7 linked regions of the Danio rerio genome follow. The protein of the gene in region 3 purifies or fractionates together with the protein of the main gene of each other region. This does not show direct contact. Links are inferred from orthologs where the notes say so. Each region holds a gene or a part of one and is shown on either strand. Other genes may lie near its edges.

Region 1 (4,082 bases), on a different chromosome or scaffold from region 3:
TAACTTGCTTGTTGATTAAATCCTGTTTTGTTATTTAACCTATTATTTTTATGCAACAGTGAAGTTGCATGTTAATTTGCTATGAAGAAAAGGAAATAATTAATTTTCTTGCATGCTGATTTATGTGAAATCGTGAATATAGGTCTATATAACCACCTTGCAATTTTGAAATTATAGCTTTTTTGGTTTGAGTAGACTTTTCAGTTCATAAGAGCAGTTCAATCTTTTATTAAGTTTAAAAATATAACATTTTTAAACATTTATAATTATCGACCTATATATATCGACTATCAGCCTCCAAGTCTGAAGAGTTATTAGTTATCGATATACACTAAAAAACCCATATCGGTGCACCCCTAATTATATACCACTGACAGTGGCATTTTAACTTTAAGATATTAATATAATTTTATTCTTTTTGACACATAATATACTGATGACATATTTTCTGCAGATGCACTATGTATATGAAGCTTTTAAAGTATGTATCACAATAATACCATGTGTTATTGAGTTTAGTACATGTATACTAGGAGTTTTATAGAAACGAACATCAAATGCGAAACATCAAATTGACAAAACCTTTACACTGGTAACATCATGTTGTGACCAGATGTACCTTGTTGACATAGCATATTCAAAGCATGAACATTAGGGGTGCAAGATATTGAAAAATAAATCAAACATTGACATATTTTGTTTTTCTGTGATAAATAATGCAAAATGAATATAGGTCCATCAGATGCCTTAACTCTATTTGGGAAGTGTTTATTAATTCAGACTGATTGCAATAAAGGATTGAATCATGCATAAAAAAATAACAAAAAATTACAAGTATTGTTACTTTATGAATTTGTCAAACAGCAAACAGGTACAGGAATTGCAAAAAAATCAAATGTAAATAAAACACTGCATCTTCTTTATTGTAAAAATTATTTTAAAAATGTATCTTTATTAAAGGTACAAATGGTCTAATTTCTTGTGCCTGTGTAACAGGGTTAAAATAATGTTTAATTGTCTTTCACCAAAATGGGTTATTTTGTTTATTTTGTGGCTGTTGAGAGACCTCTTGTGGCAACAGTGTGTAATTGTTTCTTTCACCTTTCACCTGCAAAACCCCGCCTACAGCAGAAAATGGTTGCAGAATGCAGAAAGGCGGTAGGTAAAATGTGCTCCAGCTAAATGTGACAAATTTTGTATTTTAACACATATTAATAACACATACAAGCCCAATATGAACATTAAGTGATGTTTTAGATCAAATCTGTCGAGTGATTGCCGTGTGTGACAAACTTTGTGTGGTTTAATTTGCTCATGCTAGGTGTAGCTGGAATGATGACATTAATATGTGCAAGGGTGATTTCTTACTATTTGTTTGGTTTTTTTAGATGCATGTTTAAATGCATACTGTTGCCAGATGATGTATATTTCTGTTACAGGTATGTTAACCTTTTGTAAATAAATAATGTTTTGTTAAAATGACTTTGTGGCAACACAGCAGAAAATGGTTGCTGAATGCAGAAAGGCGATGCATGTTTAAATGCATACTGTTGCCAGAGGATGTATATTTCTGTTACAGAATAAACAACGCAGAACGCAGTTCTCTGTGTCCGCCTGAGTGATTTGCGTCTTCAGGAAGAGAAGCGTTACACCTGGATGCTTTATACGTTCTTGAAATGTTCATACAGCGGCAGTCCATAAAACACAGGCAGACTTCCACTTTATATACATATATAAACTGTCTTCTGGTCAACTATAAACCCAACAAGACATTGCATATCCTCTGAGTTTTCTGAATATGCACTGTGATAATGCCCATGTTTTCTAGAGGTTTACCATAATAAAATAATACATTTAAACCATAGCGATATCATCTTTTATAATCTACACACCATATCAATACCATATTTTCTGAACATCATGATAGCACTGCGCACATTCTATAAGCAATTGTGACACTACTGTATATTTTTGAGGCATATGCCATGACAGAACCAAGCTTTCAGTACATGCACAGTAATTTAGTACTACTTTATGACATATGCATATAGTGACACCATGGTATACTACATGGTGATACAACATTTCATACCTTTCTCTTTTTCAGTTTGTAGTCATTGAGCTCTTCTTTATCGGTGATCTTCTGTTTGGGTGGCGGTGGCAGCAGCTCGAGCTCTCTCTCTTTGGCCTCTCTGAGCAGCTGCTCGGCGGTGATCTGCACCTCTGCAGGGGCTTTATTCTTCACCTGAACACAAACACAAAACCATTACAAAACAAGACAATCTTTAACCCATCTGGTTATAGTTCTATACATTATACAGTTGTTATTTTCAGAGTGGCACAAGTTCACGTTGTTTACAAGCTAATGCTAACTCACAGCTTTATTCTTCACATGAGCATTAATACAAAACCATTACAAAGCAAGACAACCTTTAACTCAACTGATTACATGTATACACATTATACATCAGTTAACTAATTATAAAGTAACGTTAGCAGAACTACATGTTGTTTACATGCTAATGCTAACTTACAGGGGTTTATTCTTCACCTGAACACAAACACAAATACATTATAAAAAAATAAGCTTAACTCCACTAACCACATTTATATACAGTAGTTAATTATTAAGTAACGTCAGCACGACTTCACGTTGTTTACATGCTAATGCTAACTCACAAAAACATCATATAGGTTTTACCTTCGCCACTTTCGGGATTCTCTGTTTGCCCGCCGCGGTGGACGCCATGATTATTACGCTCCTGACACTTTATTAAAAATAAATTAGACGTATGTTCTTGTGTTTTAGATTTCGAAAGCCCGCTAAAACCTGTAAGGTTAGCGACGTTTCAGTGCCGTGTGTGTCGCGCCTGCCGTGACGCGCTGTGACCTTTGCCTGCATCTACGTCACGGAGCATCTCACCATGGTGACAGGACGCTTGCTAGCGGTTAACGTTATCAATAAATAAAAGGTCAGCAGTTTGAGGCTGTTAAAACTCAGTTTTTTATTGTTATACACCAAAAATACCTGTTTAATTGTTTTATGTTGCTTGTGTATCGACTTTTTGTCAATGTAAGTGAATGCTTGTTGTTTTAAAATATTTTTGCCTATTATTGGCTAGTGACTGAGTTCAAAACTCAACATTTTACATTAATAACGTTAACTTACCTCAATTAAATACCTTAAACGTTTGTTATTTATTTGTTTACTGTTAGATCTGTTTATTGTTAAACCGAATTTTCTTCAATGTGTGTGAATGTTTATTTGTTTTTATAAAGGTTAGTGACGAGGCTCAAAGTAAAGTTACATGTAACGTTATGTTATTTAACTTTATTCGCTCACTGTTAGATTTTTTTATAGTCCGACCTATCTTTAATGTAAGTGAATGTCCATTTTTATTAATTTGTTAATTATGTATTGCTTGTTATTGTGTATGAAATAACCGTAAAGAGTTGTTATTTATTTGTTTACCAAAATAAGTCTGTGCGTGCACACAGACGAAAAACATATAACGTACAATTGAAGTCAGAATTATTAGCCCCCTTTGATTTTTTTTCTTTTTTAAATATTTCCCAAATGATGTTTAACAGAGCAAGGAAATTTTCACATTATGTCTGATAATATTTTGTCTTCTGGAAAAAGTCTTATTTGTTTTATTTTGGCTAGAATAAAAGCAGTTTTTATAAAATAAATAAAAAAATAAAATAAAATTTAAGGTCAATATTATTAGCCCCATGAAGCTATATTTTTGTCTACAGATCATTACACAATAACTTGCCTAATTACCCTGACCTGCCTAGTTAACCTAATTAACCTAATTAAGTCTTTAAATGTCACTTTAAGCTGTATAGTAGTATCTTGAAAATTATCTAATAAAATATTATTTACCTGTCATCATGATTAATTAAATAAATCAGTTATTAGAAATGAGTTAGCAAAAACTATTATGTTTAGAAATGTGTTGAAAAGAAATCTGCTCTCCGTTAAACAGAAATTAGGGAAAAAATAAACAAGGGGGCTAATAATTCAACTGACTTCAACTGTATATTACGTCTACAGTTGTGCTCGAATGTTTACATAC
Region 2 (3,500 bases), on a different chromosome or scaffold from region 3:
CTCCATTTACTGAAAAAGGAAATAGTCATCATTATCAATTTCTGTCCAATAAACTGTTTTATAGCTTGGAATATCTAGATTTAAAGACATTTTTTAAGTATTCCACAAATTATATAATATTTAGACATTTGAGTCTAGAAATAAACTTTAAAAATTAGGATTTTTTGAAGAGTTGTTAAATGAGGAGTCCTGTTAAACATTATTGCAGTACTTTCTTTGGCTAATTTAAAATACACGTGCAAGTATCAATCAAAACACTATTGTGCAGTTATGAATCTGCACAAAGTTGCCAATTCAAAATGCTGTGAAATATTTTGGATTAAAAAAAAAAAAGATTTCTGACACTGGATAATGGCATGTAGTTAAATGTTAGTAATTACAAATGTAAGTGTATTCATATAAAGGGTTAAAGCAATAGTTTACTCCAAAATTACAATTCTGTCGTCATTTACTCACCCTTCACTTGCCACAAACATGTTTGAGTTTCTTTCGTCTGTTAAGAAGACAATATTGTGAAACATTTTGGAAACCTGTAACCATTGACTTCCATAGTATTTGTTTTACCAACTGGTTCCATGTTTTGAACATTCTTCAAAATATATTCTTTTGTGTTTACTAGAAGTTTGGAAGTTGAATGTGAGTAAATGGTAAGTTTACTATTTATTTTGGGAAGAACTGCCTCTTTAAGAGGACAACAATAAAATATGTCCATCTTTAAAACATGTATTTTGTTAAAGTAAAGTGTACTGTCATAAAAGACTCATCTGTCAGGGATTTATTGTGCCATCAAAAACCATTTTGATGGTCATTGTTTAAGTGGATATTATGGTATTGAAGCCCTTTTAGGTTTTCCCCAAGCTGCCTTGTTGGAAACCGCTCTTTAAATGCCATACAAAAATACTTTTTTCAAAATGCACTGAAACAAACTAGTGTTGAAAAAAAAAAAACTGCTTTCATTCTGAAAATGTTTCATTCAGACTGTTTCTTGCCATTTCTTCTGTGATTATATGTGATATTTTCTCGACACCAGTTTTTCAGTCTGTGTGGTTTTTGTAAATGTTATATTTGTTATGTTGTTAAAGGTATCAGATTGAAGTGAATCGAGTCCCTGCTGGTAACTGGGTGTTAATTGAGGGCTGTGACCAGCCGATTGTTAAAACAGCCACAATCACAGAGCCCCGTGGAAATGAAGAGGTGGGAAACAGAGACGTGCATTTGAAACAGCAGTCTTCATTAATAAGGCTTTTAAAACTCACTGTGCTTTATGTTGTTGCGAGCAGGCACAGATCTTCAGGCCACTCAAGTTTAACACCGCATCAGTTATAAAAATTGCTGTGGAGCCTGTCAATCCTTCAGAATTGCCCAAGATGTTGGATGGACTCCGAAAAGTTAACAAAAGTTATCCTTCACTCACAACAAAGGTAACACGCTCTTTTGCTGCCGGTATTGTTTAAAAGCTGTATTTCTGTTATGGTCAAATCAAATGCTACAAAGTAGTTTGCTTTATTTTTTTACAATTATTATAGATGTTTAAGGCTGTAAAAACCCTCACTACACACTTTATGCAATTTTCTCAGATAAACATCGACGTTTTTCCTGCAGTCACTGATCCACAAAACTAAAGCAGACTCCATCTTTACCATGGCCCTGTTGCAAACAGTTTTTAAAAGGGGTTGTATCTTTGTTGAAATCTCATTGCTGCTGTCGTCCTTATGTTATTTCCTTCCTTCTTTATGTAAAAGGCGTCATGCAGCCACATAACTTCTGCCATAGCATGTTCAGAAGTCCAACAGTGCGGAAAATTTCTGCGACATATTTCTGCGACTCCCCGACGTTTGTTGGGGAGAAAACTTGTAAACAGACAGTCCAGCACTTCAGCGTCACACTGCTAGTGATCAAAGATTCATGTAAATTTGGCAAGCTGAATGCATTCTGTACTGTACAGGAGTCTCGGCACTTAGGAGATTGATTGACAGTGATCTACAGCCAATCAGAACGCAGAACACTATGCACTTTAAAAAAAAAAAGCATGTCAAATTGCTTGAAAAATTATCCGCGAAACTGCGAGACCACGAAAGTGAACCGCGTTATAGCCAGGGACCACTGTATTAGTATTTGTCCATTTTTACGGAGTATTTAACATGCTCTTATGCAAGAAAAATTACAGATGTAAGTCTGACAATAACGTATTGTATTAGTACTTTGTTAGTGTAGTTAAATGCATAACTGAATGTTTTTTTTCTTTATTTGTTTGTTATGAATGTGTGTTTAGGTGGAGGAGTCAGGTGAACACGTGATTCTTGGCACAGGTGAGCTGTATCTGGACTGTGTAATGCACGACCTGCGGAAAATGTACTCTGAAATTGATATCAAGGTGCTCTTTTTTGCTTTAATAGTTTTACGGTCCTCATTTCTGCATGTATTTCTTTTTCCTTTTATGTGATTTTTTCTCTCTTTGTTTTCTCCCTATAGGTAGCTGATCCTGTGGTGACCTTTTGTGAGACTGTCGTGGAAACTTCTTCTTTGAAGTGTTTTGCTGAAACGCCCAATAAAAAGTGAGAAACAAGCTTCCTTTATTTCAGCATTCTGATTTAGTATTGACTGGAAGGAAAACCTTCAAATAAAATTACACAAGTGACCTTTTTTTTAACTGAGATTTGTACATCAATTGAAAGGTGTATGAATAATTGTTAGGATAGAGCAATGTTTGTCAGAGTTTGAACTTTTGAAAATCTGGAAAGCAATGGTTTAAAAATAAATCTAAATACTGAGCAGTTTGCAGATAACTGTGTATATGAATATTTAGCAATCTCACTTTAAGTTTTGATTTATTTACAGTAGGAAATTTACCAAATATTTTTTATGGAACTAATTTTTATTTAATATTCAAATGATTTTTGGCATTAAAGACAATAGTAAAAAAAACTTATTGACCCATACAGTGTATTTCTGTCTATTGGCCAAAAATATTCCCATGCAACATTAGGTTTTGTCATCCAGAGTCATATTTGAAGCTCTGAATCAGCTGAACCAATTGCTTTACAAAATTATTCACTGTTTCAAAGCACTAAAAACACCACAAGCTTTTACAAATTACATGCTTTGAAAGTGAAATATATCAAATAAAATTAACAAATCATAAAATAACGTCAATACAAAGTATCTTTATAATAATCTTTTGATTTTTATGGCTCATTTGTTTAATGGCGGTATTACGTAAACAGGACTAGTGGCTATAATTATTATTAGTCTCTGTAATTCCACAAGTATATGATTATACATTTATAAATCTATAAAACCAACCCAAAAACAAGTTAAAAACTACAGCCCTTGGTTCAAATGATTGACGCCACTCACTTGAAAAGCCAATTAAATTGGAAACAGTCTTTATTTGCTGAAATCAACAGTTTGCAACTGTTTTAAAGCTTCACAAAGCAGTGTCTGTGTGTGTTTTGCAGGAATAAAATCACCATGATTGCTGAGCCATTGGAGAAGGGTCT
Region 3 (3,973 bases):
ACAGCACCAAGGCGTGGGCTTGTAGGGGCATGATGCGAGCCGATCCGCAAATCACAGCACATGTTAGCTGACCGATCAGAGCCTTTTGAGGGCGGGCCTTTCAGAGGAACTAGGAAATATGACTGTCATTTTCATGTTAGCTGCCTTGCTGTATATAATCAAAGTAAGATATAAAAAAATAACATGACTTTCTACAAATGAAGCATGAGCACACATTGCTTTGCATCTTTTACAACACAACCAAGCCTTAAAAATACACAGTAGACCACCCCTTTAAATTATTTTTTTCCACCAAACTTGAGTACTGTTATTTTATCAGTTAATATTACATTTAAATGTTAACACATTTTGCCATATTAAGTTGAGTGCTGAGCTGTTCAGTGTACTGTAACAAATGCATGCAGATTGGTTTCCTCTGAAAGCATAGTGTCCTTGCACTTTAGATAATAAAGCTACTGTTAATTTAGTAAACAAACCAATAATTTACTCTACGAAACAAACCAGAGCTTATAAAAGTTGTAATCTTTATTTAAACCCAAACTACAGTGTACATAACAGATGCACAACATAGCTACAGGGAAAAGACAAATTATTCCGGATTTATAAAAAACACAATGTACTACAAACAACTCCGAAAAAGGGTACAGATATTTTTAGACAAAAAAGTCATTCATCTCACAACAACAGACAAAGCACAATGTGCTTTCAGACTTGTGCATAATCAAGTCAATGACAAGCAATTAATGATAAAGCAAAAAACAGATGACATGCTTCGAGTTTCCAAGCATTTACATTACTGCTAACAGTATAGAGGGACAAAACAGAACCAAAGCATTGCTTTAGCCTGTGGGTGCTTTTACTTTAAATAGTCTCTGTTTGTACTTATGCATACATATCCTCACGGTCAGCATTGTAGATTTCACCCTCCTGCAGAGAAGCAAAATTGAGGAAGTGAGACGGTCTGTGGACTTCATGGTAGAACTCTTTCGGATTGGCCAACTGCAGGTCATACTTCATGTTGGGATCATGGCGGACACCTAAAACAAGAAAAGAGAAATTAGCAAAAGTGCACTGTGGTATCTGCAATTTACAAACGTGTATCACTTCAATATATATCATAAAAATGAATCTATGCTCACCCATGAAGTTGTAGTTCCAGGAGACTTGGCCAGGCACCATGAAGAAGCCAAGGAAACGGTCAGACAAAAGCATCTGAACCCTTTCATAGTGTGAAGGCAAGTAACCTTTGGGGTTATTACCCTTATCTGTGTTTTGTCGACCCCACTCATATCCACTGGGAGTCAGCTTGTAGGCCGTCAGTGTGCAGGAACCAGGGGTGAAGCTAGACAAGCAAAACCAATAGGTTTAAGTCTCACATGCAATACTATATTATATGTAATGCAGTACATTATAAATTGGAAGTTAGGAACACAGCCACATTGTGTTAATGTGTTTAATCTATACCTGCAAGTGATAATGATAGTCTTTTCGCCATCCCAGGATGGGTTGTCAGCCATGACCTTTGCATGGGTGGTGACATCCTGAGGAGAGAGCTGGGGCGATTCATTGGGCTGTGTATGGATCCATCCAAGAGGCTCCATTTCCTATAAAAGAAAAAGGGCAGCATTTGAAAAGGCTGGGAGGACACAGACTGCTGATAACACCAAATTAGATGTGCAAATACAACAAATGTGCATGTGTAAATTCCTGACCTTCAAGTACTCGTGTTGTGGCAGTTGGTTGGGAAGGTGAACGGTCTGATGTGTACCCCACTGTGGCACCATCACAATACAGCGGATCTCCTTCACCTGAGGGTTATCTGGAGGGCTGGTTCCATACAGGTAACCTGCAATCTGCAAGGGGGGAAATATACAAGCACAAATAATGCAAGAAAGGTAGTGGAAAACCAATTTTTTTATTTAATTTCAAATAATTATTTAAAAAAAAAAAGGCAGATTATCAAGTTATGATGCAGAAATAGACGCTTTTCAATATTACACATAAAATTATATATTAAAATAGTGTTAGTCTCATGAATTGCCATACTTTGAACTAAAGAAACTTTCTCCTCCAAGTCTAATTTGTTTTACTCATAAAATTTTTTCAAGACTCCCACAGATCATATACTGTTTAAATCTGATATCATGACAGCCCTGAAATGATTCTAAGCAAAAATAAGAGAAGACATTTTAATTAGACTGTTAATCTAACCTGAGCACGCAGATCTGAGATGCAGATGAACTTCTTCAGAACGTTCTTGGGCAGGATGTAAGTGTAGCCCGTTTCTTTGATGTCATCCGATGACACATAGATGTGGTTGGTACGCAAGTGCAAGTTTGCAGCAGAGATCGCCCTGTGAGATGAAGAAAACGGTTTAACAGCGAACTTTAGCTGTGCTTTAATGACCAAAAAGACAAGAAACATTTCCGTACCTTACTCTCCATTCAGTTTTGGAAGAGAAGGTCTGCGTCTCGTAGTTGCTGGTGGTGGAGGTGATGATCTCATCTCCGTGTTTGTTGACTGTGCGAGTCTGAGTGGCCGTAAGCTGAGACTGCTCTTTGGTCTGCTTCTCAATCTCAGCGATCTGCTGTCTCTGCTGGGATGGAGCAGAGATTTCCATTCCCAGGATGATGTCCCTGATTTCAGACTGAGTCAAAGATGCCACATTCACACTGTGGAGAAGATTGAGAATTTACAATCTTGAACATCCCAAAGTATATATTTTTGAATGCACTTGGAAATCTGTATTTCTTACTTGTTCTTCTTGCCATAGTCAGCCAGGATGAGATCTTTGAGCTGCACCTCCACTTTGATCCACTCCTCATCCGTCAGAGTGGGCCAGATGTGGTGGGGCTCGGTAATGGTGGTCTTGTCAGGTTTCAGAATAACTTTGGCACGATCATTGTTGACATGAAGCGCTCTCAGGATCAAAATCAAACGAGAGAATGCCTAGGCAACAAAAACAGATTTTAGTTTTAGACATCGTAGCATAAGTGGTGGAACTCTCAGAAACAACAAAATTTTGCTTCAATGATTATTTAATTTAATGAATAGCTTATATTTATTAAGTTTATAGAATAAAAGCTGGATTTACAGTGTAAGAGGAGATGGTCTTCAGCCAGTCGTCATACAGATTGAACAGGACCATCTGAGGCTCTGTGGCCTTCAGAATGAGGTCTCCAAACTTCTCCACTTTCAAACAGGCCTGGAAGGGGAGCTGGAGCTCAGAGCCTTTGATTACAATGTTGGGGAAGTCCAGCAAGTGCACCTGGAGAAAACAGATAGTTGTTAACCTAAGAGTTAAGAGCTTCAACACTCGTTTTGGTTGCTAAAGGTTAAGTGCCTAACCTCAAGAGGATCCAACATGCCCTTCCTGGTCACAATAATCTGTTTGGGCTGCTCTTCAACAGGCAGCGATCGGATCAGGGCAGCCACTTCTTCAGCAGTCTTCCACTTAGCCAACTACAAAGGCAGAACCAGTAACCAGTCGGATAAGTAAAAAAAAGTACAAAAAAATAATAATAAAAAAATAAAAAACAACTGTGTAAACAAAATACGAGTGATAAACAGACCTGTCCAAGACGCTTTTGTCCAGCCCATACAGAAGTGTGAATGATCTTCAAGAAAAGCTGTCCAGTTCTGGGGTTGAAGATGAAAATGGCTCCATTGATGGGTTTGGTGGTCAAGTTACCTTCAAAGGTCTGAAACAGGATAAAATTGACATTTTACCACACAACCCAAGGTCAAAACAATCAAAACAACAAGGAACATCTTTAAAATGTTGACTTGCCTTGTGGATGGTGACTCTGTACACATTGGTGTCATCTACAAACCAGATGATCTGGTTTGAGAAGAGCTCTCCATAGTTCTGGGAGGACAGGTAAGGCTCAGTGGGCTCTGAAGAGTAGAGTTGCAGACCCTTGCGGATTCGCTCTCTTAACACATACAGAGCCGGATTGGCCTTCATTATCTT
Region 4 (3,500 bases), on a different chromosome or scaffold from region 3:
TTTAGGTATTTTTGCTGTACTGAAGTGGCTCTCACACTTTTTACTTACAAAAACAATGTTCTGTACCAAAAAACAGACAAATTAAGAGAACTGATGAGGTTTAATTATTGATTTCTATTTGAAACTTTACATGAAAATTACGTTGTTTTTAATATCTCGACAATACAAAATATCAAACTTTTAGGTCATCATAACTCCCTTGTAAATTTGCTGTTAAAAAATACTGTTGTAACAAATTTAGTTATACAGTGGAATCCACAATTCTGAGACCATTCATGAAAACGATCCAATGTACAGTTGAAGCCAGAATTATTAGCCCCCCTGAATTATTAGCACTCGTTTATTTTTTCTCAAATTTTTGTTTAATGGAGGGAAGATTTTTTCAACACATTTTTAAGCATAATAGTTTTAAAAACATATTTCTAATAACTGATTTATTTTATATTTGCCAAGATGACAGTAAATATTTTACTTGATATTTTTCAAGACACTTCTATACAGCTTAAAGTCACATTTAAAGGCTTAACTAGGTTGATAAGGTGAACTAGGCAGGTTAAGGTAATTAAGCAAGTTTTTCTATAACGATGGTTTGTTCTGTAGACTATCGAAAAAAAATTAGCTTAAAGGGGCTAATAATTTTGTCCCAAAAATGATTTTTTAAAAATTAAAAACTCCTTTTATTCTAACCGAAATAAAACAAATAAGACTTTCTCCAGAAGAAAAAACATTATCAGACATACTGTGAAAATTTCCTTGCTCTGTTAAACATAATTTGGGAAATATTTAAAAATAATTCAAAGGGGGGCTAATAATAACTACTAATACTAATAACTTCAACTGTAATTCAATACCAACTGGCTTTTTTTTTTTTTTTTTTGCTCTTTCTCTTAAATTATCATTTGAAAATATTCTATTATTTGTATTTCATCTCTTCTTTTTAATCTCAGCAGCACGCAGGACAGAACTAATCCAAATCCAACACTGTGCGCTTCTCTATACTGTTGACCCCCATAAATCCATAAAATTGTGTATTGATAACAGAATATTTAAGATAATAAAATTTCTGCAAACTAAATATTCAGATTTTAGAAAAATACTATGAACTCATGATTTTGTCTAGATTAACTTTTGCTGAATAATCCAGCAACCTTTTTTATAAAATGCAATTGTCATAGACTGTCAGATCAGATGTTATTAAATAAGCTCTTTATAATGAAAAAGCGGTTTAATTTTTTTAATGCAGTGCTTACCTCACATAGACTTTACTTGGGCGGGCTGCCCAGGTATATTAACGGCCACCCAAGTATATTTTGTGGTGACAAATAAACAATAGCTGCGTCCCAAATGGTACACTATACACTATGCACTCATGCACTATGTACTTATGCACTTACACACTCAACAGGATAGTATATGTATGTAGTGGCGTCCCAAATGGAGCACTAATGTTTTTTTACTAAGCGGAAATTCAAACCGTTTCCCTGATGACGTTTCACGGTTGCCAAATCAGTGAAATAAACGACCGAATTATCAAATATTACCTGCCGTGAGTGTTGCCGCATTCACCATCGGGAGGCACTATAATCACTCTCGTAGAAGAATTTAGTTCTCACCGTCCAAAATAAATAAAGTTATTCAACATGTGCGTGCGATAGCTCCGCCTCTTCCGCTACGTAAGCAAACCTGCGGTCGTTGAGTGCGTGAAGTGTCCATCATTACACACTTCATTTTAGCGGCTGAATGAGTGCATCATCCGGGAAATTAAAGTGCACTTATTATTTTTATAGTTTTCAGTGTGAACACACTACTTGCACTATTTATACTACAAAATGGCGTAGAATAGTGCATAAGTATGCGATTTGGGACGCAGCTAATAGTATTATCATCATTCTTTTACACTTTTTTTGCATCCAAGAAAGCCACAAACATTCCCGATCATCATTCATCGATTTACTAGTGGAAAATCTCTCATCTGACCGTAGTTTGAATCTTTTAAAATGTCCAGGATTCGGGTTTTACTTTTGCTTTCTAAAGTTGTTGTTATTTGAATGCGTTTTGCATAATCTTTTCACTGCTGACTGCACACGAACAGTTGCGAGAGGAACATTAAATAATTTATCATTAATAAACGACTCTGATGGACTTAACTATATACTCGGACAGAACAAAATATACTAATTGTAAAATATTTGTACATCATTAGAAATGGCTCATCAACTAGTTTGCCTAATTAAAATAATCTACACTAGTTATTCTAGTACTTAATTCCATTTAAAGCAATAATGTCTATTTTTATTCCTTTTTCTTTTATTTATTGCTGTATATTTTCTTAATTTAATGATGTTAATAAATTACATACTTTTTTACATAGGGCCATCTAAAATCCTTTGGCAATACTGTAAACGTCATGCCAATAAAGGAACTTTAGAGATATATATATATATATATATATATATATAATGTTTTTTTTTGTATATTTATTGTATATATACAAATAAATACATAGAAAAAATGACATTATTTTTGTTTGTTGCATGTAGTTCACCAGTTATGTGCTGTGCTTAAAAGGTGTGTTTCAATCCAGCTACCTCTGCAAGTATATTTCAAACCTACGGGAAGAACTGAAATAGGGTTGTGCCGATAGACGATGCCATCGTCCATCGCCGATGGCCGACAAACTTCACAATGCTCAGCCGGCATCGCGATCCATCGCCCCCCTCCACATTTATATTGATATATAACTTATTATTTTCATGTCATCTTAATAGCAATAACAGTCTTTCAAGAGCTGTGTTAAATGTTGCATATAGCTGCTGCTTGCACAGCTGACAGCATCGTGGGGATTAAATGAAGGATTATACAGCACCTCTCGTGCTTAAAATGTGTAGATTCAGTGGTATTTTTTTTAACTGGTATCAAACATCCATCAGTCTGCGTGACTGACCTTTCCAGGTTGTAATATTCCAGCCACATGTTGGCGTACTTCGCATTCCCCTTTGTCATGATGCTATCCCACAGCTCTCGAGCCTTCTGCATGTTCTTGCAGTGTAAGGCCTGTTTGGAGCAAACACACACACAAGCAGCTCTGTAATAACTGTGGACAGACTGTAATCAGCAGAATGACATTAGTTAATGGAGGACGGACAGATGCCTCAGTATAACATTTCCTCACCTCTATCCTCGCCCAGATCTGCATTAGCGTGCAGGACAGATCTCCACTTTCACTGAACCCTGAGAAGAAGCGAGACCGTAATTAAAATATGCCTAAGACAGCTGTGCTTAACACCTCTTCAAAACAGACAAGACACTTACTCTCTTCTACGTCCTGTTTCAGGTATTCAAGGGAGCGCGAGAAAGCTGCCCGCAGCTCGTCCAACTCCCTGCTCCACTCTGCAATGAACATCAATAATCAACTACTTAATTTACTCAGATCTAATCATCAGTTGAGCAAAGCTTGTAACAGAACAGAAAAGCACATGCTCTTGCCTTTACTGAAGTCA
Region 5 (3,500 bases), on a different chromosome or scaffold from region 3:
TTGTTCTCGGTGATCTTTATACTGGGCAGCTGCGCAAAATATATTCTAAATAGTCAAGCAGGAATTTATCTGTAGCTTGTTGGTTTATTATTAAGGCAAAAAAAATTAAAATAACAAAAATAAAATGATAAAAATACAAAGATAGAAAATCAGCATTTTGCAAAAATATAATAGTCCTTTTTAGCTTCATTTCCTGCTATATATGTGTTGCTTCACATTTGTTTTTTATTTCAATTGCTGCATTCGTTATTTGATGTTTGAATACTGAAACAAATAACAGCCATTGGTTAAAGGGTTATATTTTACCATCAAAATTTTGTATATTTTATATCATTATCAACTTTTTATATAAAACCGCAGCGTAATTTAATTGATTGTTAAAAATGAAATGATTTAAGTGCTATATTTTTATTATTAGAGAAAGTGCCCTATTTCTGCCACTATAAATACACTATTATAGTAACCTTATCATTGTTTAATTTTCTTGTTATGTTCAGAGATTTTAAATATATTATTTATTTCCCCTCCAATGATTTTCAATTATCACGTTACATTTTGGTCATTTTCATTCATTCATTCATTTTCTTGTCGGCTTAGTCCCTTTATTAATCTGGGCTCACCACAGCGGAATGAACCGCCAACTTATCCAGCAAGTTTTTACGCAGCGGATGCCCTTCCAGCCGCAACCCATCTCTGGGAAACATCCACACACACATTTTAATTGTATATAATTAAAATTAGTTTTAACTCTCTGTGTACCTTTGGTAGGAGCTCTTTAGGTGTTGGTGTACTGGAGGGACTCTCTGAGTTGTAAAAGGGCGAGTTGTCCTTTCGCTTTACATCTAAGATGAGCTGAGCCAAAAAGTTCTCCTGAAAACGAGTTCGCTTCCCTAGAGCACCTGAGAGAAAAATCAGAAAATTATTTAATCCTTAATGCATTACATCAGTGTTTCCTCATTCGCACTGCAGGGTAATACATCCCTCATTCATTCATTGCATATGTCAATTACTTTCGCTATGAACCACCATTTATCCATCAGCAAAGTACAATCATTTTTCTTCAAGTTATACTGCCTACCTGTCATGTTAACATCGAGTCCTGACAGATCACGAGCCGTCTGCAGATGTTCTTTGGCCTTGTGATACTCATAGTAGGTCAGGCAGATATAACTGCACTCCAGGTGGAACTGAATGGCCAGGTTTCTGTGTGCATTACTGCTGAACAGCTCGTCACATTTACACACTAGAGAAACAGAGGAGGGAGCAGTGTTTAGAAGGCAGCATTTACAATTCAACATTCACATAAAATGGTCATAGAATGCATAGCACGTCTTTGAATGTAGAATAATTCTGACTTCCACATGGTTGCACTGTAAAGAAATAAACATATCTATCGCCTATATCTGTTTCTAGGATATGACTGGATTGAATTCCCACGGAGAAACTGCTTGGGAGAAGGAATGGAGAATGAGGAAAAAGGAAGACCAATGGAGGAATAATGAAGGAAGGATGGGAGAAAGGTTAAATAAACGAAGAACAATGTAAAAGGGTGGGGAGAGATGGAAGAATATGGAAGAGAAACTAAGAAGGAAAAGAAAGAGAGAAGGGAGGAAACATGAAGAAAGAAATCCAGGAAGGAAGAATGATGAACAAAGTCAAGGAAAAGAAAAAAAAAAGATAGATGGAAAAAAAGGTTAGAGGACGAAAACTAAGACTGAACAACAAACGGAAAGAACAAATGAGGGGAAAAAGGCAGAAAACAAATCAAGTAAAAAAAAATAAATAAATAAATATATATATACATACATATATACATGCATATATACACACAGTTGAAGTGAGAATTTTTTTCTTTTTTTAAATATTTTACAAAGGATGTTTAACAGAGCAAGACATTTTTACAGTATGTCTGATAATTTGTTTTATTGTGGCTAGAATAAAAATAAATATTTTTAAAAACAAAATTTTTAGCCCCTTTAAGCTATATTTTTTCTTGATAATATACAGAACAAACCATAATTATACAATAACTTGCAAAATTACTCTAACCTGCCTAGTTAACTTAATTAACCCAGTTAAGCCTTTAAATGTCACTTTAAGCTGTATGGAAGTGTCTTGAAAAATATCTAGTCAAATTTTTTTTTTACAGTCATCATGGTAAAGATAAAAGAAAACAGTTATTAGAGATGAGTTATTAAAACTATTATGTTTAGAAATGTGTTGAAAAAAAAATCTTCTCTCCATTTAACAGAAATTGGGTAAAAACTAAACAAGCGGTCTAATAATTCAGGGGGGCTAATAATTTTGACTTCAACTGTGTGTGTGTGTGTGTGTGTGTGTGTGTGTGCGCGCGCGTGTGTTCGCGTGTGTGTGTGTGCGCGTGTGTGTGTGTGTGTGTGTGTGTGTGTGTGTGTGTGTATATATATATATATATATATATATATATATATATATATATATATATATATATATATATATTAGGGATGTAACGGTATTGTAAATACCGTCATACCACAATATTCATTTTTTTCGATATTACCGTAGTCGCATGACTCGGTAAAACTATAGGTCTTCTGAGAAAATTTGCTCAGGCGAATGAAGCGAACGGGAGGTAGCGGAAACTACAATTCCCATCAGCCCTTGCGGTCTGTTGTCGCTACAGATACAGTAATGCGGAAATGGAGTGTGCTGCTAGAAGCGGGCATCAAAAAGAGCTGGAAATGATCGAACCTGAAGCGGGTGTTGTCGCCGCACGCGTACTGAATAGCGGTGTTGTCGCGTGCGTTCTGATCAGCTGTGTTGTCGCGCGCATACTGAATAGCGGTGTTGTTGGGCGCGTTCTGATCAGCTGTGTTGTCGCGCGCCTACTGAAGGGCGGGACAGAGGGTGTGACACAGCACACTGTTCAGATTGATACAGACATGAGACCTCTATCTATCTCATGGCTTGCCTTGTCCTCTCAAGTGGGGAAAAGACAATGCACAACGTTAACCACTGCTGTCAACCTGGGCCAAGTCATATCTCTCTGTCCCAGAAACCTCAGTCCCAAATGAGAGGGGTTTTTTCTGTTGCAGGGGACATTGTAAATGCCCAGAGATAACAGCTTTTACCAGATTATATTTATATGATAATTTTCCTTAAAACCCATCTCTATCTAAGTGAGTGAGTGATTAAATGTTGAATGTGATGAGTTTTCAACAATACTAAATTGAAACTTTATTTTTTTACATGGTTTAATAATTTTTTGTTATTAAAATTGAAGTTCCTGTTTCAAAGCTTACAGATAGATGACTAATTTGTATGTCATTGACACTTTTGGCACTTTTTTGGAGTATTTTCATAAGTTTTGTTTTTTCCTGTAAATGATTCAATAAATACCGTACCGTGACATTGATACCGAGGTATTACCGTATCATGAAATTCTGATACCGTTACATCCCTAATATATATATATATATATATATATATATATAGAGAGAGAGAGAGAGAGAGAGAGAGAG
Region 6 (4,181 bases), on a different chromosome or scaffold from region 3:
AACATGAGGTTGAATAATAATCCTTTCTTTTTATTTTATTTCTGGGGTAAACAAACCCTTTAAGAATGTCTGGTACAGCTCTGAGACTGCGCAGCACCAATACAGTAAATAACATTGATTTTTAAAAATCTTTCTCCAAAATTAACAAAAATCAAAAAGTCAGAAACCATAAACTTTCATTAATATGAAATGATGACAAAATTATTTGATAAACTGTCCCCATAAGAACCTTACACTCTCATTACCAGTGAGAATTATAAATAAAAATCTGCCCTCATTGAATAGATATTAACGGAAATATATACCATATTATATAATATTTTTTTTATAAGTATAAAAATTTAAAAATATTTATAGAGTATTGAGGATGGTATCTATCTAGCATATCTGCTCAATGTGTGTTATGTTTCTGCCTAGAACTGTTAAGAGGCCAAAATTGCTGTTTCATTCGCCTAGTCAGTTGATGGGAAAAAAAAACATTCGTCCCGTACCAACACCTCCATTACAGCAAGGGAAATATACAATAATTGATATAAAAAAACATGATTCTATGAATCAAATTTTCACTAGAAAACTAACTTCAACTGAAGTCCGAAACGACGCAGAAAACAATCGCGTTAATATGAATGTAATGCAAACAATTCATCTGAATTAAAACATAATATCTAAAACAAAACAAATAGTTTTTCCTCTTCGTCTTCGGTGTTTATTATGTTCATAAACACACAGCAGTCCTCAAATACGTCACGGTGAACCACCTAAAAGCTGTTTAACATCACGATCTTGCAGAATAAACAGGCCATATTTCCACTCGGTCTGCAAGACACTATTCATACGCTGAGTCGACATGATGTTATCATATCAAACAACAGTGACAGTCCGATTTAGCAAAAGGAAAGACAGAAACAGATATTTACCTGTCATACAGAAACAAAAATATCGCTCATAGATAGTCATTTTAGGCCAATCGGAGGTGTTTGTAACAGTGGTGGGAAGCAGTGTAACGTTACTACTAAGCAGCATCCATACTGAATACAGCAGAAGCGTGCGTCACGGCTTTGACCACAGCCAATGAGCGCATTTCGTTCTTTAGCATGATCAAATAATTTTTTATTTACTTCGATTATAAAATACACATACTGCTTGTTTTACACGTTCATTTATCGTATAGAGTGTTTATTATTAAATTTACGCCGTTTTTGTTTTGTTTTTCTGTATCGTGTCATAGAAGCAGCTGATCTAGAACCAGTCTCATCATTCCGCTTTTCGCCGTTCAACGGCTGTACAAAAAACAGGCAAGCTGATCTGAGATCAACTGTTAAGACGACAAATGTGATGCCAGCGAGCGGAAGTTTCTAGAGAATGAGGTCCGTCACTAAACATAGACCGCCACCGTTGCGTACAGACGGACGAGGGGTAACGTAACGCTTATCAGTAAATAATTCGACGAGTTTTAAAAACAAGTCATGCCACCAGGTAAAAATTTTAGAAGAAGGAAAGAGGATTCATCCGACGAGGAAGATGATGAAACAAAATTCGTAGTCAGGTAGATATATTCAACACATTCAGGCCAAACAAAGTAAACACAGCTGTTGTAAACCGCTTGGTAAAACGAGCAGAAAAGATTAATGCAGCTGACTTGTTTAGTTTGTACATGCATTCAGAGAGGACAGAAACCTATTGAATGTGAAAAACTATTTAAAGATGTTACTTTTATTATATGTTTACCCAGGTCAAAACTGGATGAAGCCAAGGAGCTACAGAGTCTGCGAAAAAGGCAGCATGGAGTGAGGTTGGTCATGAGCTGCTTTGTGGTTGTTACTGTTGGTGGTGTTTACATTTTTCTTTCTTTTCATTGTGTAATTAAAGTGAGAATAATAAATGCTATTTTCCATTCTGTTTGTCCAGCATTGCAACGTTACTTGTTGGAGAGAAGCTTCCTTTAGAGGCTGAGCTTGAGGTGTTTTATTATTTTAATCAAACTACATTTTGCACTACAATACAAGCCTTGCAGTGTAACTTTGTTCTTCTCTATGAGCTAATAGAGGTTTGACATTTTGTCCCTCCATGTTTATGTCATAGGATGACCCATTTAAACTGAAGACTGGAGGTGTTGTTGACATGAAGAAAGTGAAAGACAGAAGCAGAGACATGTAAGAATTAAGTAAACATGTTAGCTTTTCATTTCAAGATGTCTCTATATTTGCATCTTGACACTTCCTCTTTTGTTACAGGACAGTGGATGAAAATGACCTCAATCTTGGTACATCCTTTTCTGCCGAGACAAACAGAAGAGATGAAGATGCTGACATGTAAGTGCATGCTTCTACATCACATACTCTCTGCATTGCTGGTTTTGTCACTATGTTTAAAGCCTCTCCCATCATGCATCTCATTTCACGCAGGATGAAGTACATTGAGACAGAGTTAAAGAAAAAGAAAGGCATGGTGGAGGCAGAGGAGCAGAAGGTAAAGGTGAAGAATCCAGAGGACCTCCTGTATGAGCTTCCAGAGAACATCAACGTCAGCTCTGCCAAAAAGACAGAAGAGATGTTGTCCAATCAGATGCTGAGCGGAATTCCAGAGGTGGATCTGGGGATTGAGTGAGTAAAGACACAAGCTAATTCATGGACATCAGTTATTGTTTTCTCTAGACTGGTGGCTCAGAACAAACAAATGATTGATGTCAACCTAAAAGCCTCTTTTCTCTCTTTCTTCTCAGCGCAAAGATAAAGAATATCATCAACACAGAAGAAGCCAAAGCAAAGCTGCTAGCTGAGCAGAGGAATAAGAAGAAAGACAGCGGGACCTCCTTTGTTCCCACAAACATTGCGGTCAATTACGTCCAGCATAATCGCTGTAAGTGTACACACAAACAACTGTTTGTTCAAACGTTTGTCAGTAAGATGTTTTTAAGTCTCTTATGCTCACATTTAAGGGATAGTTCATTTTTTTTCATTTGTTCTCCTTCATGTGGTTTTAAACAGTTATTAGTTTCTTTCTTTTGTTGAACCCAAAAGAAGATGTTTTGAAGAAAACTGATTGCTGGAATCCATCATCGTCAATGGCTTCTTTGTGTTTTGGTTTTGAACAAGTGAAGGCTGATTTAAATGATGGCAGAATTAAAAAACTTTTGAGTAGAAGTATCCCTTTAAAAATGTAATCTTGTGAAATATTTTTGCAGTCTGTAATTGCACTCATTTTCTTTTTTTCATAATCAGGTTTTTAAGATTATAAAAAAATGTTGTAAATTGTTCATTGTAAAGCTGAATTGTTCAGCAAACATTAGTCCAGTTCTTCACAATTCTTTCTAATACGATGATTTGGTGCCTAATTTACACATTTATCTTTCAATATTAAAAAAAACGGAAATTAATGTAAATTTCAAAAGCAGAGCATTTACTTAAAATACATTTTGTAACAAAACTGTACAAAGAAAAGGCCAATGATTGATTTCTCAAAATTGTTCACTAACCATATCTGTTTTCAAGTGTAAGCTTTTATCAACAGCTCTGTCTATGCCTAACAAATAAGTAAACAGTAAAATGTGAACCATATTTAAAACATTTGCTATCCCAAAGAAGAAAGATTAAGTCATCATCTGTTCTATTTTGTCAAGTCTACCATGAGGATTCAAACGCGCCCCAAAGACGCAACAGAGAAGAGCCTAAAGCCAGGCCATTGCGTGTAGGAGACACAGAGAAACCAGCACCTGAGGGTAAGATCAGATTGAAAACCTCTTCAGCTTTTATGCCCTGCTGTTTTTAATGTATTCATGTTCATATGATTTGGTGTATTTTTTTCGGTCTCCAGCCTCACCACCCAATTTCCGCAAGAGACCCAATAACGAGAAGGCCACAGATGACTACCACTATGAGAAATTTAAGAAAATGAACCGACGATATTAATCCTTCACTAATAATTCAGTTACCATGATGGAGTTTGTTTTTCCTTTCTGTAAACTGAAAGATGTAAATACTTTGTACTATATTTAAAAAAATGTCTCTGCTAAATATCTGTAACTTACGATAAGCTTTTTACAATAAAACTTCACCCAAATTGTTGGTAGTTTTTTGAAAATATTTTATAACAGAAAAACTTTTAGTTGCATAAATTTAGCGCATTGTTCAATTTCATAATTATATAATGATTGTAGAACAGTTCCACATAAATGCTCAATC
Region 7 (4,148 bases), on a different chromosome or scaffold from region 3:
TGCAGAGATAAAATAGAGTACAACCAAAATACGAAGACTTCAGATGCAAAAGGTATGCCTTCTGAAAGTGTATTCTAAAATGAGCATTTCAGATATTTTATTTAAGGGAACGAAAAGAATCTATTGTTTGACAATAGTGAAATTCCTCAACCACTGTGCTTCAAAAAATGCTCAATTTATAAATATATCAGATGCAATTAAGAGCTTTTTGCATCTGACTCTTCCTTTGGTGTTTAATAAGGGGTTTTGATAAGACTTAAATGCCTCTTATTGGAAATACAAAAACCATTGGTGCAACCTTGCTTTGGGGTCATTTAAGGGGCTGAAGGCAGAATAAGATATGTTGGTTACTTACAGTGCATGTCTCTCTCGTGCTCGTATTCAATGAACGCATAGCCTCTTGGTTTTCCAGTTTTCTTGTTGTACACAATGTAGATCTAATAATAGCAGATACATACAAGAATAAGACAGTGGAAACAAACTGACCCAAGATTAATATGCATAATACACGTTCAGCACAATTTACCCGTTTGATAGGACCATAGACCTCAAACTCTCGCCGCAGTTTGGATTCTGTGGTATCATAATTCTGCATAAATAGAATAAAACATGTAAGATTTGTCTTCAAGAAACAACCTCTACACATTTAGATTTTTGTCAGCCGACAAGCTTATGCTTGAGACCAAAAAATACTCACAATTCGAGCCACAAACAGGGTCTTAAACGCATCTCCTTGGGCATTAGCGTCATTATGTGGGTCCCCTGTGGAGATACAGGTCATAAGGTTAATATAGAACATTTTAATGACTTTATTTACAACTGTAAAGCCTTTATTTTAAAGACACTTACATAATTTCAGCTCTCCTTCAACCACAACTTGCCTCCTCTCCATTTTTTCTCTTCTCTGGATTTGAAATGAACAAATAACCAAGTAGTTAGTTACCATAATTTTACATTAAATACTGTACAAATGTAAATAATTGGATAACATTCTTATTATTGGTCATTTATTGCATCATATTACTGGATTAATAGAGCATGTGACATTTACACAAAAGCTTCTGCAATGCATATCTTACTATTGCTGACTGCTATCAAGTTCCTTCATCGATTTTTCAGAATTTGATTATGGTGCGTTGACAAATGATTTCTAAAAACTTAGGGCTATGCAACATATTTCAGCATTATCAAGTGTTCATAGCTGTCAAGACTCAACGGTCCAGAACACAAGGGATTTGTGAATGAATTGCCAAGTTTCAACAATAGAGTGAAAGTTAATCGTGTGCACATTAAATGTAAATTATTTCATCCTCCAGTGGAAACGCATTCCTTTTTTTGTTGAACTCAAAAGAAACATACCAAAAAATGGTCACGATTAACATCCATTGCAGTGAAAAAAAATATATATACATACACCAAGGAATCAATGGCATGTGGTTTCTAATATTCTCCAAAACATTAATACTTTTGTGTTGGACAGATGACACAAAATATAACCGGTTTAAAACAAGTGGAGGCAGAGTAAATATTCTAACTTTTTTTGCTTCAATTAAAAAAAACATTTTGTTAGCAGTGGTCTCAAGCAAAGTTTGGGACAAGGATGACCTATGGTTAAACTCAATGTGACATGTATCAACAAGCTTTTCAAACACGTCTTGTCTGTACTTATATGCCCACTAAAACTACTGAGTGCAGCTCTGTCAATCTAAAAGCAATTCAGCAGGAGAAAACATTAGTAAACTCCCCACAGAGAGTCTATTCAGACAAGTCTCGCTCACCTTCCTCTCCAGTCTCTCCTCCCGTGTCTCTGCTCTTGTGGGTGGAGGGGCATCTCTGGGGTCCTAATAAACAGCAGAAAAAACAGTTATACATCAATGTAACAAAGAAATCGATAAATAAACCGTTCTACATAAAATAACAAGTCAAAAAGCACCTCAAAATGCCGGATAAAAGGAGCAATTCCGCAGTAGGGCTGGTTGTGGTGTTTCTCGTGAGGAAGCTTTCCCAGTTGAGGCAGGAACGGTATGGGGTCCCGCGGGGCAAACAATGCCAACAGGTTCGGCGGAAGAAACTGAGTCATTGTTCACCTGGAAGAGAGAAAAAACACAAACGATAAAAAAAATAATCAACAATTAGGAGCACCTCATGCAAGTTAAGCAGTTACTGTGTGAAAATGGTAAATAAGACGTTATTTAAGATAAGGTGGATTTAAATAAGCAGACAAAATCATGCTAACAGATTCAAACTGAAAATTCAGCGTCTTCACATAGATCTGGATCAGTAAACAAACACCCCTTAAACGAGTCTCGTGAAGTTAGCTGCTAGCAGTCTTAGCTTTCTCGGTTAGCTTCGTGCAAACAAACACTTTTATTCTCCACATAATGATTAAACAAACTACAACTTCAGCATCAGATCACGTTAGTGTAGCATCAACAAAAAGAGACGCATCTAATAACTAATATCAGTGCACTCTTTAATACACAAAAATAAAGCAAAGCTCAGTCGTGGTTACGGTCAGCTCTGCTAATTCACCAACTCTCTCATGATGATCATATCCGAGATCGCCTACATTTCCACGGACGGCCTCCTGCAGTCAATTACCTCAGTTTTTCATTCGGCTCCAACGAAATCTCCGATTTTCGGGCCAAAATCCTCTTGCGTGTTTCTGTGGAAGACCTTCGTGCATGAATTTCTTTAATTCACTCGGTATTTTTGTGTGTATTTCGGTCCACACAATACCCAACGTGTGTTCTCACCCAGTTGAACGAGTCGTTCCTTTCTTAAAATGGCGCGAGGCCGTAAACCGCTGCGGTGTTTCACGACACATTTACGTCTAGTGGTACATTCACGATAGGGGCGTGGCCAGTGTGGAATTTGTACTGTAAAATATTATTTATTGTTATACAGTGTCACAAAACTTATGCTATGTTGATGTACGTATCCACAGTATCCTAACTAGACTTTACCTTTATAATGGGAAAAAATTCACTCTAAATCATAATTTTACTTTAAGTACACCATAAAATACCTTAAAACGTCTTTATCCTTAATTTTGCTCAATGCATGCATCCAAATATTGTCTGAATATTGCTAGTTACTGATTAATAATAATAGTAAAGATATGTACATTATCAATTGTTAAATGGGAATATATTCATATCAAATACAACAGCAGTAAACCATTCCCATTCTACGTTTCTTCCCAAACACAAGAGGCGCTGTAACCAAAAAATGACTTCATCGTTTGTTTTTATACGTAGTTAAAGATGGCGGAGTCCGAGGAGCCGAAAAAACCCACCTGCACATTTATTTTTAAGAAATCAAACAAGAAATTTTCCGCACGGAAAAGAAATGCAAGTGACAGCGACAAAGGTACGTTGTGCTTCTTTCTTCAGTGTCTCAATCGACAGCGAGTTTGACTTGAGAAACTATAATCCCTACAACAAGCCGTCTGTTTAATTAATGTTTATGCTCAATACATGTCTGCAGTTCAGTGTTTTGTTTCTTTATCATCAGAAAAAAGCAGCGGCGATGAGGGCAGTGCAGTGGTCAGAAAGAAGAAATCTGCCGCTGTGAACCCCATGATTCAGAAAGTATGTCCGTATTTCATGTGTTTTATGTAACTAGCCGCTGTTAAACTGATGTCATCATTATTATATTTATTATTCGTTTTATAGACGAAGAAAGTGGAGAGGGAAGCTGTCTCATCGAGTGAAAGTGAAGAAGAGAAGGAAGAAAAGAGCGTGACTGTCGCTTACAAGTCCACTCGCTCAGCGGTGAGTCTGACTGACCCAACATTTGTACAGCTTCATGATTTATGCTACAGCAAATTATGAATATAAACGCTTGATGGTGCCTAATAATTCATGACCACGTATGACTTTACATTTCTATTAACGTCTGACAGTTTTTGCGCTGTCTCATTGAAACATTAAAGGCTGTAATTGAGTGTATTTGACTATGTGTTGCAGAAACCAGAGGGGCCGGATGACATGGGGGCCACTGCTGTCTATGAGCTGGACACAGAGAGGGACAAAGATGCTCAGGCCATCTTTGAGCGCAGTCAGAAAATCCAAGAGGTATGCGGGTGATTGGAAATAACTGGCTGCATCATTGTAAAGTCAGGTTTATGTATGTTATGTACAGAT

What was found.
Region 1: the proteins of prpf8 (region 3) and crnkl1 fractionate together in Homo sapiens (co-fractionation; 3 studies listed by BioGRID, with this or other methods). This does not show direct contact. The link is inferred for Danio rerio from reciprocal best matches to the Homo sapiens genes PRPF8 and CRNKL1.
Region 2: the proteins of prpf8 (region 3) and eftud2 purify together in Homo sapiens (affinity purification with mass spectrometry; 9 studies listed by BioGRID and IntAct, with this or other methods). This does not show direct contact. The link is inferred for Danio rerio from reciprocal best matches to the Homo sapiens genes PRPF8 and EFTUD2.
Region 4: the proteins of prpf8 (region 3) and sart3 purify together in Homo sapiens (affinity purification with mass spectrometry; 4 studies listed by BioGRID, with this or other methods). This does not show direct contact. The link is inferred for Danio rerio from reciprocal best matches to the Homo sapiens genes PRPF8 and SART3.
Region 5: the proteins of prpf8 (region 3) and ttc27 purify together in Homo sapiens (affinity purification with mass spectrometry; 3 studies listed by BioGRID and IntAct, with this or other methods). This does not show direct contact. The link is inferred for Danio rerio from reciprocal best matches to the Homo sapiens genes PRPF8 and TTC27.
Region 6: the proteins of prpf8 (region 3) and zgc:103692 purify together in Homo sapiens (affinity purification with mass spectrometry; 4 studies listed by BioGRID and IntAct, with this or other methods). This does not show direct contact. The link is inferred for Danio rerio from reciprocal best matches to the Homo sapiens genes PRPF8 and C9orf78.
Region 7: the proteins of prpf8 (region 3) and snrnp70 fractionate together in Homo sapiens (co-fractionation; 3 studies listed by BioGRID, with this or other methods). This does not show direct contact. The link is inferred for Danio rerio from reciprocal best matches to the Homo sapiens genes PRPF8 and SNRNP70.

What each region holds. Positions count from the first base shown.
Region 1 is NC_133195.1:52,275,093-52,279,174, reverse strand, and holds the start of crnkl1 (crooked neck-like protein 1), read right to left. Parts: upstream 2,801-4,082; 5' UTR 2,750-2,800; coding exon 2,702-2,749; exon of another isoform or gene 2,246-2,701; coding exon 2,093-2,245; exon of another isoform or gene 1,389-2,092; intron 1,159-1,388; exon of another isoform or gene 1,127-1,158; intron 1-1,126. UniProt on the Homo sapiens protein: Involved in pre-mRNA splicing process. As a component of the minor spliceosome, involved in the splicing of U12-type introns in pre-mRNAs.
Region 2 is NC_133178.1:15,069,821-15,073,320, reverse strand, and holds part of eftud2 (116 kDa U5 small nuclear ribonucleoprotein component), read left to right. Parts: intron 1-1,082; coding exon 1,083-1,194; intron 1,195-1,280; coding exon 1,281-1,421; intron 1,422-2,272; coding exon 2,273-2,374; intron 2,375-2,472; coding exon 2,473-2,555; intron 2,556-3,458; coding exon 3,459-3,500. UniProt on the Homo sapiens protein: Required for pre-mRNA splicing as component of the spliceosome, including pre-catalytic, catalytic and post-catalytic spliceosomal complexes. Component of the U5 snRNP and the U4/U6-U5 tri-snRNP complex, a building block of the spliceosome.
Region 3 is NC_133190.1:30,754,849-30,758,821, forward strand, and holds the end of prpf8 (pre-mRNA-processing-splicing factor 8), read right to left. Parts: coding exon 3,791-3,973; intron 3,702-3,790; coding exon 3,573-3,701; intron 3,463-3,572; coding exon 3,349-3,462; intron 3,269-3,348; coding exon 3,095-3,268; intron 2,950-3,094; coding exon 2,756-2,949; intron 2,673-2,755; coding exon 2,433-2,672; intron 2,354-2,432; coding exon 2,212-2,353; intron 1,854-2,211; coding exon 1,713-1,853; intron 1,605-1,712; coding exon 1,465-1,604; intron 1,343-1,464; coding exon 1,140-1,342; intron 1,038-1,139; coding exon 883-1,037; 3' UTR 501-882; downstream 1-500. UniProt on the Homo sapiens protein: Plays a role in pre-mRNA splicing as core component of precatalytic, catalytic and postcatalytic spliceosomal complexes, both of the predominant U2-type spliceosome and the minor U12-type spliceosome.
Region 4 is NC_133180.1:21,195,851-21,199,350, reverse strand, and holds part of sart3 (squamous cell carcinoma antigen recognized by T-cells 3), read right to left. Parts: coding exon 3,477-3,500; intron 3,391-3,476; coding exon of another isoform or gene 3,381-3,390; coding exon 3,313-3,380; intron 3,232-3,312; coding exon 3,173-3,231; intron 3,055-3,172; coding exon 2,945-3,054; intron 1-2,944. UniProt on the Homo sapiens protein: U6 snRNP-binding protein that functions as a recycling factor of the splicing machinery. Promotes the initial reassembly of U4 and U6 snRNPs following their ejection from the spliceosome during its maturation.
Region 5 is NC_133192.1:24,158,036-24,161,535, reverse strand, and holds part of ttc27 (tetratricopeptide repeat protein 27), read right to left. Parts: intron 1,244-3,500; coding exon 1,079-1,243; intron 900-1,078; coding exon 760-899; intron 1-759.
Region 6 is NC_133180.1:33,917,012-33,921,192, reverse strand, and holds zgc:103692 (telomere length and silencing protein 1 homolog), read left to right. Parts: upstream 1-1,381; 5' UTR 1,382-1,466; coding exon 1,467-1,546; intron 1,547-1,732; coding exon 1,733-1,792; intron 1,793-1,908; coding exon 1,909-1,960; intron 1,961-2,082; coding exon 2,083-2,153; intron 2,154-2,234; coding exon 2,235-2,312; intron 2,313-2,405; coding exon 2,406-2,603; intron 2,604-2,722; coding exon 2,723-2,859; intron 2,860-3,619; coding exon 3,620-3,718; intron 3,719-3,813; coding exon 3,814-3,908; 3' UTR 3,909-4,059; downstream 4,060-4,181. UniProt on the Homo sapiens protein: Plays a role in pre-mRNA splicing by promoting usage of the upstream 3'-splice site at alternative NAGNAG splice sites; these are sites featuring alternative acceptor motifs separated by only a few nucleotides. May also modulate exon inclusion events.
Region 7 is NC_133178.1:30,714,563-30,718,710, reverse strand, and holds the start of snrnp70 (U1 small nuclear ribonucleoprotein 70 kDa), read right to left. Parts: upstream 2,801-4,148; 5' UTR 2,602-2,800; intron 2,088-2,601; 5' UTR 2,081-2,087; coding exon 1,934-2,080; intron 1,842-1,933; coding exon 1,779-1,841; intron 905-1,778; coding exon 850-904; intron 763-849; coding exon 698-762; intron 590-697; coding exon 527-589; intron 438-526; coding exon 356-437; intron 1-355. Other genes in the region: E3 ubiquitin-protein ligase RNF113A, read left to right, coding at 3,267-3,372, 3,517-3,593, 3,678-3,776, 3,972-4,079. UniProt on the Homo sapiens protein: Component of the spliceosomal U1 snRNP, which is essential for recognition of the pre-mRNA 5' splice-site and the subsequent assembly of the spliceosome. SNRNP70 binds to the loop I region of U1-snRNA.